Linked DNA regions of Danio rerio. The protein of the gene in region 3 interacts with the protein of the main gene of each other region in a biochemical or structural test. Links are inferred from orthologs where the notes say so. Each region holds a gene or a part of one and is shown on either strand. Other genes may lie near its edges.

Region 1 (3,823 bases), on a different chromosome or scaffold from region 3:
AGCCCCCAGAGGCCAGTTGATGAATTGCAAATTCAGCTTCTTCCGTATTAGCTTCACAAGTGAGAGCAGGAGGTTGCCGCTTGGCCCATAGGTGTTTATGGAGCTTTTTATGAAGACAGTTAAACCATTGAAGTAACATGGAATGTTTCGGCAATATCTTTGGTTCCTTTTCTGAACTTAAAACATCTCTGGACCCAGGCCCGGATTGGCTAATCGGGAGGACCAGGAGAATTCCCGGTGGGCCGGTCCGTTTTTTGGCCGCGAGGGCCGTTGTCCCTAGCTCCAGAATCTGTTGCTCTCAGCAGTCACACTTAATTTAAATTAATTTATTTATTTACTTGACCACAGTCTTCTTATTCATTATTTAACCGCAGCTCTGCTCTTTTTATGTATAATGATGATATAACTCCGATGGGTCACATCTCAATATACAACTGTTGTGGTCCAGTGGTTAGCATGTTAGATTATGACGCTGCCGACCCGGGTTTAATCCCTGTCTGAGTATGTTTTTTTTTTTTTTATTGTTAAGACATATAATAATGTTAGGGTTGTTGAACATTTGAAGTTCTAAAGCAGCTTTTTTCTCAAAAAAAGACGTGATAGTGTAATTAGAAACTGATTTGGAATGACCTTATTTTAATATAGTCAGTCGTGAACTGAGGTAGGCCGCTCTGAGGCTTGAAACTCCAGGGCTGAAAAGGAGTCCCACTCCGGCCCTGTCTGGACCCCTGATGTCTATGGAGGGTCAGAGAGCTCTGAGGTTTCATCTAAAATGTCTTTGTGTTCCGAAAATGAATGAAGGTCTTGGGAATGTAACGACATGAAGGTGAGTGATTAATAACGCAATTTAAATTTTTGGGTGAACTAACCCTTTATTCACACGGCTACAGTATTTGAGCTGTTGATTGCATCAGTTGTGCTGTAATGGCTGTTGAACATTAACTAGGTCTTTGAAACAGCATCTATTGATCAGTTAAGTGATACTAATGAGATTGAGCAGTTTCCTTTGATTGATTGTACCTTTACAGTAGAGCTCTCCATCTTTATCCGTCACGGTGGTGGACTCCAGGCTCTTCCCGCACAATAAACAGCGGAAGCAGGTTTTGTGCCAGGGCTGTTGGATCAAAAGCAGGTACAGACTGATGAATTACTACTTTACACAGCGCTGACCTGTGACAGCAGCATATTGCAGAAGTGCTGAGGAGGAACAGTTTCTCAGAATCTGCTACGTATTTAGATTAGGTGGTTTATTAATAATATATTTCATATTTTAGCAGTGTATTGTAGCATTAATGCAGCGTCAGCTTCTCAGGGTAATTTTTGCAGTGGTTTTACCTTTCCAGCACCCATGATTTTCTCCGCTGCATAAACAGCTTTAGAGCAGCGAGGACAGCGATCTGTACTCCCGAACTTCTGCGCAAACTTGCTTGAGTTTGAGTTCGCAGGTGCAGGACGTGGAGCTTTGGGCCTTAAAATGTTCAGAACACACACACACACACACACACACACACACACACACATACAGGTTATCTAAATATGGACATCTTAAGATTTCATATACAGCTAGTGTCCGATAGCACAAGTCCAACCCTAAGACAGAGGAGTACTTCATTTTTTTTATTCATACATTAGCATACACGCATTTTAAAGTATACAGTATATACAAATCTGAAGCTAATCTAACAAAATAACTCATGATAACGGTCCAAAATTAGTAGCCCAAATGTATACGAAAAAAAAAAACATTCAAGAGAAAAAAATTTTGTTGAGTTTTTGTAGTTTGTCATTTTTTTTTTTATTTTGCATGAATTTAAATGTATTATCTTTCCATTTCTAAAGATGTTCGGTGACTAAAATATTATTTGAATAAATGTATTGGTTTAGTAAATCTATTTTGTTCAAATACACCAAAATATATGACCTATATTCACTGAGAAATGGTTAAAAATATTCATTTTCAAAATCGGGTGTAGTCAGTTATGTTGAGCACTGTATGTACTGTATCCTTCATAAAAATTGGCATCTCAGTGTAATCAATGTAAAATGATTTTTGCATATGAACATGCATTAAGGGTATAAATCTGTCCTTAAAACTTGGTAAAAGTCAGTTCATGCATAACAAAAAACGTTCAACATTATGAGTGTATTTTGAGGACGTACTCTTGAGGCTGAAGTTCTTCATTATTGACCGGGTCAGAACTCAAAGCTCCAGCACCCTGGCCATACCCATAACCTTTCGGACCATATTTCTTGCCGTAGCAGGTTTTGCAGTATATCTCAGACTCATGTGCGGCAACTGTGGTGCTGTCCAAACCTTTACGACAAACCACTAAAAACAAACAAATCATGCATATATACATTTTTAAATGTTTACCAAATGATGTTTAACAGAGCAAGGAAATTTTCACAGTATGTATTATAATATTTTTTTCTTCTGGAGAAATTCTTATTACTTTTATTTCAGCTAGAATAAAAGCCGTTTTAAATTTTTTTAAAGCCATTTTAAAGTCAAAATTATTAGCCCCTTTAAGCTATATGTTTTTGATAGTCAACAGAACAAACCCATCATTATACAATAACTTGCCTAATTACCCTAACCTGCCTAGTTAACCTAATTAACCTAGTTAAGCCTTTAAATGTCACTAAGCTTTATAGAAGTTTCTTTAAATAATATTAACTGGATACTAGATATTTTTCCTGAATAAAAGCCGTTTTTTAATAATAAAAAATAAAAAACATATTAGCCTAGGGTCAATGTTATTAGCCCCCTTAAGCATTTTGTTTTATTGTCCACAATGCAAACCACTGCTATACAATGACTTGTCGAATTACCCTGACTTGCTTAATTAACCTATTTAAGCCTTTAAATTGCACTTAAAGCTGAACACTAGTATCTTGAAAAATGTCTAGTAAAATATTATGGCGAAAGATAAAAGAAATCAGTTATTAAAAATGTAGTTATTAAAACTAGTATGTTTAGAAATGTGTTGAAATCTTCAACACACACACACACACACACACACATATATATATATATACAGTATATATACACAGTATATTAGTGAAGTAAATTATTTGTATTTTCTTGATTCACAATTAGTGTTGTTGTTGTTTGGCTTCAACAAAAGATAATAAATTGAAAAAAAATATATAATGATAAATAAACAAAATATAAAGGCTAAATAAAATCTATAATCCAATCTTCAGAATTTGGAGACCATTAAATAAACAAACAGAATAAGCAAGTCTAAAGTAATTTAAGGGGAGTCAAATTATACTATTTCTAATATGTCATTTAGATTACCTTATCTATAGTTTGTAATCTAGATTACATTTCTGACATTTTTCATCAGGTAATTTGTAGTCTGTAATACGCAGTCTGATCAACTGTAAACAGCTGTAATTATCAAGTTGTTCTGCTTTTTCGTGTTTCAGTCAAATTATGATATCATTTGTAATCAAATGTTTTGTATTGAACTAAAACAATGCAAAATACAAGTGAATTCACATTTTAATTATAATATATTTATTTATTTACACATTGATTTGTGTTTATAACTAATGATTTTATGTTATTTATTTAATCACTTATTTAAATATTTTGAAATGTTTTTTTTAAGTTACAACTAATAAATAAATAAGCAAAACAACATTTCTGGGATTTCCAGTTTAATGAAAATCTGAGTTTTCTCAGTGATTCAAAACCTTCATTTTCTTTCATCTGCTGAACATAAATGTAGAAAATTTGAAAAATGTAGCAAACCACTGGCCATTGACCTCCATAGTAGAGAAAAAAAAATGTTGAAGTGAATGTATAACCGTT
Region 2 (4,202 bases), on a different chromosome or scaffold from region 3:
CCTCACTCGTCACATGGGCAGTTTGTTTAGCATGATCGTCATGCAGAGATCCTCCTCTGTGAACACTAATAACATCACACTGATGGAGAACGAGCACTGAAGGGTCAGTTCACCCACAAATCGACATCTACTTAGGGTTATCTCTCCCTCACGGGGTCTTTAACCCATCTTCTGTTAAACATTAAGAAGATATTTAGAAAAATGTTGAACACCAGCAACCATTGACTTATATACTATTTGTTTCTCCTACTTTAGATGTCAATAATTACAACATTTTTCCAAATATCTTCTTTCATGTTGAACAGAAGAGAGAAGCTCCAACAGGTTTCAGACCCCCTGAGGGAGAGATAAGCGCCAGTAGATGTTGATTTGTGGGTGAACTGACCCTTTAAGCCAGCGGAGTCAAACTCAGTTCCTGGAGGGCCGCAGCCCTGCACAGTTCAGCTCCAGCCCTGCTCCAACACACTCACCTGGAGCTTTCAAACAAGCCAGAAGGACTCAATTAGTGTGATCAGCTGTGTTTAATTAGGGGAAAACTAAACTGAGCAGAGCTGCGGCCCTCCAGGAACTGACTTTGACACCCCTGATTTAAGCTCCTCTTCATCACAGAGCAGATGAACACACACACACACACACTCAGGGAATGTTTATCTTCAGTCTGCTGGCTTGTGTGTGTGTGTGTGTGTGTGTGTGTGTGTGTGTGTAGAGCAGCATCACTCGCTGAAGAAGGGATGATCCAGAGCGTTCAGCGCAGAGATCCTCTTCAGCGGGTCGAAGGTCAGCATTTTCTGTCAACACAAGAACACAGAGCTGTCAGCGCGTCTCTCACATCACTCATGCGTTTAGCATCTCCTGCTGAACACGAGCGGTCAGCAGATCCAGGTGACCGATGCAGCATCACTCTCTCCTACAGCGCCCTGCGTCTGAGCTGTGTGTGTTGTGCTCAGGGTTATCTGTCGGTGTGTGTGTAAACGTACCAGCAATAGCTCCGCCCCTTTCTCTGTGATGTCCGGAACGCAGTCTGTGATTGGCCGAGGGCTCTGAGGGCTGAAGTTGTGGTGGGAAAGAGTGACGTCTGTGGGCCACTGATCCTCCGCCGGCAGACCGATCACCCTGAGGGACACACTGATCCGTCAATAACACACCTCATCTCTCTGTGTGAATGTGTGTGTGTGTGTGTGTGTGTTTGACATACGCAAAGATCTTCCCCAGCTGGTCCGCCTCTGAATCTCCGCAGAACAGAGGCCTGAAGAGGAGAATCAGGACAGAATCATCAACTCAAGCTCACAAACCAGAGGACATACAGCAGCAGATCTGCAGCCGCTGACACACACGCGCACGCACGCACGCACGCACGCACGCACACACACACACACACACACTCTGCTGAGACTCACTTGCGTCTGAACATCTCGGCAAAGATGCAGCCGGTGCTCCAGATGTCCACTGGTGTGGCGTATGTGCTCTGCAGGAGCACCTCAGGAGAGCGATACCACAGCGTCACCACCTGACACACACACACACACACACACACACACACACACACACACACACATACACATCAGTATTTGTGTGTCAGCAGTGTGTTCACAGGACATTGTGTGTCTCTGTGTGTGTGTGTGTGTGTGTGTGTGTGTGTGTGTGTGTGTGTGTGTGTGTGTGTGTGTGTGAGTGTCTCACCACCGGGGTCAGTGCCATGTGGCAGCTGTAGATGCGCGCCAGCCCGAAGTCCGCCAGCTTCACCTGCCCTCTGCTGGTCACCAGGATGTTCTCCGGCTTCAGATCCCGATGGAGAACTCGATTAGTGTGCAGGAACGCCAGACCACACAGCAGCTGCTGCATCAGGTCCTACACACACACACACACACGCACACACACACACGCACACACACACACATTACAGGAACGCAAGACAACACAACAACTGCTGCATCAGGACCTGCAGAACACACACACACACTCTCTCTCTCTCCATGTTATTCAGCAGGTGTTATCAGGGAATAACACACTGTTGAAGTGTCAGAAATGACCAATCAGCCCTCCAGACAGCTGTCTAATAAATACAATTAAAGCATGCTGTAATGCTTTATAAAGGATTATGAAGGCCCTGTGATATTGAAATAATGTGAGCATCAGTGTGTTAGTCGTGCTGATATCTATAATATCCAGAAACAGAGACGACATTCACATTGAGCAGATAGAACGTCTGCAGTTTGTCTCGTCCGCCTAAATGGATCAAGCACATCACTTCATACAGCAGTTTCTCATCAAATATCCTGACCAATCACACGCTCTCTCCTGTCTGGCATGCCCCGCCCTCTTCTTCTCATTGGTTGTTCATCTGATGCGCTTGAGCTCAACCACGTTTATACAGATGATGCCATCATTCATCACCGATGGCCGATAGACAACACGATGCTGAGCCGGCATCGCCAATCCTCCACCCCGCCCCGCCCCCATCGCAAACCCGCTCGCAAACAACACATACTCACAAACCCGCTCGCAAACAACACACACTCAGGCCCCGCTTACACTGACACAGCTTACTTTATACATGGCATGCGCTCAGCTGAGAAGACCCCGCTCTGACCAATTAACCCACAATATAACTGAACTATTGGTCAAACAATAAATATTCATGTGTGTGTGTGTGTGTGTGTGTGTGTGTGTGTGTGTGTCTTACTCTGATTTTGTCCACAGGCAGTCCCGGTGCTGGAACTTTCTCCAGGTATGTCCTGAGATCCTGATCCACATGTTCAAACACCAGCGTCACTTTAGTCTCCTGATCCGTCCTGAGGGTCGCGCACACGTCCATCAGCCTGAAACACACACACACACACACACAGATTACACACTTACAAAATGCCTGATCATAGACACACACACCCCGTCATCACGCACAGAGGACGCGACACACAGATTACGAGATCTTTCAGCAAAACAAGAACCTCAAACAAACAGTTGCAGAACTACTACAGTTCTGAAGGAGATCAGTGTGTGTGTGTGTGTGTGTGTGTGTGTGTGTGTGTGTGCCCATGAGTAATTGTGTGTATCAGTGATTGTGTGTGTGTATGTAACTGTGTGTGTGTACCTGACGATGTTGGGATGGTCGAACTGCTCCAGGCGCTTCAGCAGAGCCACCTCTCGAACCGTGGACAGTGGGAGTCCGTCCTGATTGGTCTGCACCCGAACGCTCTTCAGCGCCACAAACTGCCCGCTGTCCCGATCCCGAGCCTTATAGACGGTCCCGTAAGCCCCGCCCCCGATCTCTGCTACTGGCTCATACTGCAGCCCCACCTCCTGCGCCATCTGCAAACACACACACATTACTGTGCCATCACCTGATGCACGCGCACACAAGTTCCTCTGCAGGCATCATTACCTGCACAAACATACACACGCTCACACACCTGTACACACACACACACACACCTGTACATGTGCACACACTGCTGTCAGTATGTGTGTGTGACTCTGCTGTAAGACAGAAACATCAGTTTTAGCTGTATTAAGACAAACCTGCACACACACACACACACACACACACCAGTTTCTCCACATTTACTCAACAGCTCAGTTGTGTGGCGCTGCTGGTTGTGTAAACAGGCCACAAACACACAAACCCAGAGCCTGAAAGCACATCACCATCACTAGAGCCAGAACAACCTCGAACACACTCTGTGTGTGTGTGTGTGTGTGTGTGTGTGTGTGTGTGTGTGTGTGTGTGTGTTAATACGCACACTTTGATTCTCCTCTTTCTTAATATAAGACTTCTCTGATGATCATTAGTGTGACATACAGACATGTAGGCTGTCATTGATCTAAATAAACTGTACACACACACACACACACACACACACACACACACAGTAAAGCAAGCAACACTGCATTTCTGCTGCCCAGCGCTGCACCATTACAACATTTCCCCACAAAAAACTTCCTAAAATGTCAAAAATTGACTTTATTTTTAAACATTTTCCATATTTGAGTGTTTGGTGGATGATGATGACCTGTAATTTACTGCTTCTCACACACAACATGTAAATATATATATATATATTTGGTGCATCAGTAAAGCTGGCCACTGTGCGCTGTTCATCCTCCCTCCTGTTTAATGTTTATAAGTGTGTGATAATTGTAGAAGTGTTTCAGTGAGGTTAACTCTGTGTTCATAGTATAAGAGAGCGTGTTTTTCTTAATAA
Region 3 (4,364 bases):
CCGTAAAGAACCTTTAGATCTAAATCTGTGAGAACTTTCAATAAAAAAAAGTTTCTTTATAATGAAAGTGGTAATATTTATATTTTGCAAATGTTCATAAACCTCATAGAATTGTTTTTAAAATGGCTCTGCTATTTTATCACAGCGAAAACATACGTTTGGTACTTTAGTTAGTGCAATATAAAGGTCTGTATATTTGAATTAAACATATTCATGCTGCTTGACGCGTAATCATTTTATGAAAATGGTTAAGCATCGAAATGTAAAAAAGAGAGACCAAGCATTTCATTTTCTTTGAAAATGCCTATTCCCTTCAGTTCAACATAAATAAAAATCTATTACACCTTTTTGTGTTGTAATAAAAGGCTAGTTGATTAAATTATTTTGATTCAGATGCAATAATAATCAAACAAATACTGAGGAGCATTAAATTGTTCTTGCAACTCGAATGGTTTCAGAACAACATGTAAACGATTATAATCTTATTTTTCAATTGCGTACTTTTTTTTTATTGTGATATCACTTTTAGCTACAACCTCGTGAAATAAGGTATAAATAAATCTAAATTGTACAGGCCTGTTTATTGTGTAACGCTAAACCGATTTGATTTCAACAAATTGATATATCACGTGTACAGTAGGCTAAATGTTTATACATCCAATAAATCACAACAAATCACATAGATATTCCAGTATAAATAGTTGTTTTTATTTATCCGTCATTCACTCGTTTAAGAAGTATAAATATAAAGTTTAACACAAGACACAACAAACTAGTGTTTCAAACAGGCATCATTAAATACAATAATATGTTTGTTCGTTTTCGTCGCTTTAACAAAACAGATCTTATTTACACATATACAAAAATGGTCCTACTATTCGTATCTGGATTACGATTTTTTCCGTAAATAATTAGGAAAATAAAAGGTGATGGTGACAGAAAATATATTCACAAAGGGAAAAAAATATGGTCACATTTTCACGTGGATATAACAATATAAATAAGCTTAGTTAAGAAACTCACTTCTGCTGATCTGCTGAGTCTTTTCTCATATTGGAATTACATTTTCCACCGCATAAAGAAAGAAAGAAAGAAAGAAAGAAAGAAAGAAAGAAAGAAAGAAAGAAAGAAAGAAAGAAAAAAAGAAAGAAAGAAAGAAAGAAAGAAAGAAAGAAAGAAAGAAAAAAAGAATTAGTCTATGAAAGAAAGAAAGAAAGAAAGAAAGAAAGAAAGAAAGAAAGAAAGAAAGAAAGAAAGAAAGAAAGAAAGAAAGAAAGAAAGAAAGCATTCTTTCCTAGTTTCCAGCAGTGGATCAAAAGTCTTTCTTTTGTCGTTAAAGGTCGGATTCGCCTTTTTCTGCTGAAAGTTTCTTCATTCAGATTGTCTTTTTCAATTTGTTTTGAAATGTTGCAGAATTTTAAAGCACTTGATAAATGGTTTCCTGAGCCTGCTGTTGAGGGCAGCTGGTCGGGGACGGTGCGGTGGTTCCGGTGTCACTCAGGACAGATCCCTCATGCGGAGAACACGGGCTCTCTTCGTGCCCCTCCGGTACTGACAGCACGGGACATGCAGGAGTCTCTGTGGAAATTCGCTCCACGATGCTGGACAGACAATCCAAACTCGACACCACTGAGTTTTTATTATTCCGTGCGTCAGCTAGAAAAAACAAACAAACAGAAAGATTTTTATTTTTTTAACTCAAATAAAATTAGTCTATGAGAATTTAGAAACATAATAGTTTACTTTTAAACTCAATCCAAAAGAATAGTTTAACTTTGCATAACAGTTAAACATTTTTTCAGCCAACTTATTTTATTTTATTTTTCGAGCAAACTTACCATTTGGTGTGTCATTGAAGTAAGAGCTGTCATAGCTGTTCCGTCTTCTCGTCTGACACGTTGGGCCCATAAAATCCATCTGGGAAACGAAAAGACACTTTAATCTATATTTATATTGAAAAGAAAATTAAATCAGCAAACACAAGAGATAAAATATTTACAAGCGATCTTTAATTATTCCCATCTTTCTCTTAAATGTTGAAAAATAATGTTGCTGAATTATCCTAAATTACAAAATCAGTGCAAAAAAACAAGTCCAAGTTTATTTGTCCAAGTAAACACTAAACGACTTATGGCTTAGCGACATCACAATTATACTGTAGCTATAGTATGTAAAAGCCTCAGTATATAAAATAAGTTTCTCACCATGCCATCAGAGCAGTTGGATCTCGGACTGGAAGCATCAGAGTCTCCACTGTAATGTTCCAGAACGGGATAGTAGTTATCCTCTTGACTTCTGAGAAGAGCCTGCAGAGACTCGATATAACTAATGGCGTTTCTCAGAATCTCCACTTTGGGCAGCCTCTGGTTCGGGTTGGTGGACGTGCATCTCTTGAGGGTCTCGAAAGCGTCGTTGACCTTGCTCAGTCGCCTCCTCTCCCTCATGGTGGCGGCTTTGCGACGGTCAGCATTGGTAGTTTTTCTCTTGCAAGCTTTGCATGCCCACAGTAGGCACCTGCCGGCCTGATGATGCCCACTGGGCGCCCTCACGTGCTCGTCCTCGATGTGGTGATGCTCGTCGGGTTTGAGCAGGCTCACGTGAACAAGCCTGGGGTCCAAGTCTTCAAAGAAGTGCATGTCGTTGGTGTTGAAGCAAGGGTCGTCGTAGAAGTCATCAGCTGATGGGATGGGGAAGGGGATATCCGACAACTCCATCTTTTTTGTGTTAAAGTTTAAAAAGCAAGAAATGTACTTGAATGTTTCCAAAGTAGTAAATTTGTAAAAAAAATAAAAACCAAAATTAGGAATAGTAAGACAAAGTCCTTCAGATCCCGAAATAACGTACGTTTCAAAACTACAGTCTAAAATTCGCAGGACCTCGGAGGGTTTCTTTGCATGTACCCCTCAGGTACTTGTTGCTGGTAAGAGATCAGGGCCTGATAATAAACACACCAGCTTGTCGGGGGAGGTCCTACAGATGACAGACTGACCAATGAACATGTGCGATAACAAGGGGGCGTGATTTTGACAGCATGATGCTAATGATTGTGTTATAAAAATGTAAGAATGATAAATTCCCTTAGAAATAATAGAAGTTTTATTTGCTTGTATACCAAATTAACATTTAGGCCTACTTGTTTATTTTCCATCAAATTTCAACTTTACAAATAAATTCAAGCATGAGCTTTGCTTTTAACTTTGCTTGTTAATGGAAAAAACAACCAATTGGTTTCTAATTTCTAATTAATACATTTTCTAATTGTATAATTTACTAGTGCTGAATTTGATAAGTCTAATATATTTGTAACAGAAATAATACGAGAATGCAAACATTTAAAATGTTGTTTTAATTATTATTAGTTTTGTTTTTATTGTTTTATGGATGTTTTTCCCTCATAGCGCGGCATTGAAAATGTCAAACAAATGTGAGCAATAATTAGCTACTTTTAAATACACACGCACATTCACACGTTTAAAAATTCAGAATAACATTATGCATGCTTTTCAGTTCATGGTGTTCAAAATGTACAGATAAAGATTGCTTGATCAATTTAGGTATGAAATATTTTAATGAAACACTGAAGGAAAACTACATTAAGCCAACATTAAACGTATATAATTTAGTAAAGAAATCGCAATTACATTTCAATTTTATTTTCCAACAATCTCAGAAAAAACATGAGCTGTCACAGTACATTTTCAAAAGGTACAAATTTGCACTTGAAGGCTTTATAATGGTATCTCATGGGTGCGTTTTAAGTACATTTGCGTACTAATATGCCCCATTTGAGGTACCATTGTGGATTCTTTGGGCACAAGTATGTATCTTTTGCAAAGGTACTGCCCCAGTGACAGCTCCTGTACCTTTATTTCTGAGAGTGAATGGACACTTTATGATTAATGTATTTGGTTATTTACCACGATCAGTCTATCAGGTAAAGAAAATGTATTTAAGAATTTATTCTTAATGCGGCCAACTTTATTTAGCCTTCTTTACACTGGCTGCTTGACAGTCTCAATAACAGTCCAACAAAAGGGGGCGTTAAAGAGCCAGATGAAATTACTATTTTGTTCAAAAGCCCCAAATACGTCTTTAGCCAGAATCCATGCTGCTGAAGTTGGATCAGCAAAATGTTTTATATAATAAAAAATACATTTAAATATGTATTGAATAACAACTACAGCAAAGTAATAATTGAAAAACCGACACAATTATATAAAAAATAAAATTCCCTGTTTCATTTTATAGTGTTAAAAAAAACAGGGTTAATAGAAAATACAAAATGGCATGTAAACATGTTTATTAAAACCGGTGCAGAATAAAATCAGTCACACAATACAGTTAATACACCCTATCTCGAAAAT

What was found. The genes of interacting proteins can lie anywhere in the genome.
Region 1: the proteins of myod1 (region 3) and csrp3 form a complex in vitro, tested with the Homo sapiens proteins (2 studies listed by BioGRID and IntAct, with this or other methods). The link is inferred for Danio rerio from reciprocal best matches to the Homo sapiens genes MYOD1 and CSRP3.
Region 2: the proteins of myod1 (region 3) and cdk4 form a complex in vitro, tested with the Homo sapiens proteins (2 studies listed by BioGRID). The link is inferred for Danio rerio from reciprocal best matches to the Homo sapiens genes MYOD1 and CDK4.

The regions. Positions count from the first base shown.
Region 1 is NC_133182.1:16,562,344-16,566,166, forward strand, and holds part of csrp3 (cysteine and glycine-rich protein 3), read right to left. Parts: intron 2,330-3,823; coding exon 2,161-2,329; intron 1,469-2,160; coding exon 1,336-1,468; intron 1,115-1,335; coding exon 1,021-1,114; intron 1-1,020. UniProt on the Homo sapiens protein: Positive regulator of myogenesis. Acts as a cofactor for myogenic bHLH transcription factors such as MYOD1, and probably MYOG and MYF6.
Region 2 is NC_133186.1:160,474-164,675, forward strand, and holds the end of cdk4 (cyclin-dependent kinase 4), read right to left. Parts: intron 3,310-4,202; coding exon 3,092-3,309; intron 2,820-3,091; coding exon 2,684-2,819; intron 1,849-2,683; coding exon 1,681-1,848; intron 1,508-1,680; coding exon 1,398-1,507; intron 1,247-1,397; coding exon 1,196-1,246; intron 1,114-1,195; coding exon 978-1,113; intron 789-977; coding exon 714-788; 3' UTR 582-713; downstream 1-581.
Region 3 is NC_133200.1:33,824,416-33,828,779, forward strand, and holds myod1 (myoblast determination protein 1 homolog), read right to left. Parts: upstream 2,894-4,364; 5' UTR 2,715-2,893; coding exon 2,205-2,714; intron 1,918-2,204; coding exon 1,839-1,917; intron 1,657-1,838; coding exon 1,418-1,656; 3' UTR 687-1,417; downstream 1-686. UniProt on the Homo sapiens protein: Acts as a transcriptional activator that promotes transcription of muscle-specific target genes and plays a role in muscle differentiation. Together with MYF5 and MYOG, co-occupies muscle-specific gene promoter core region during myogenesis.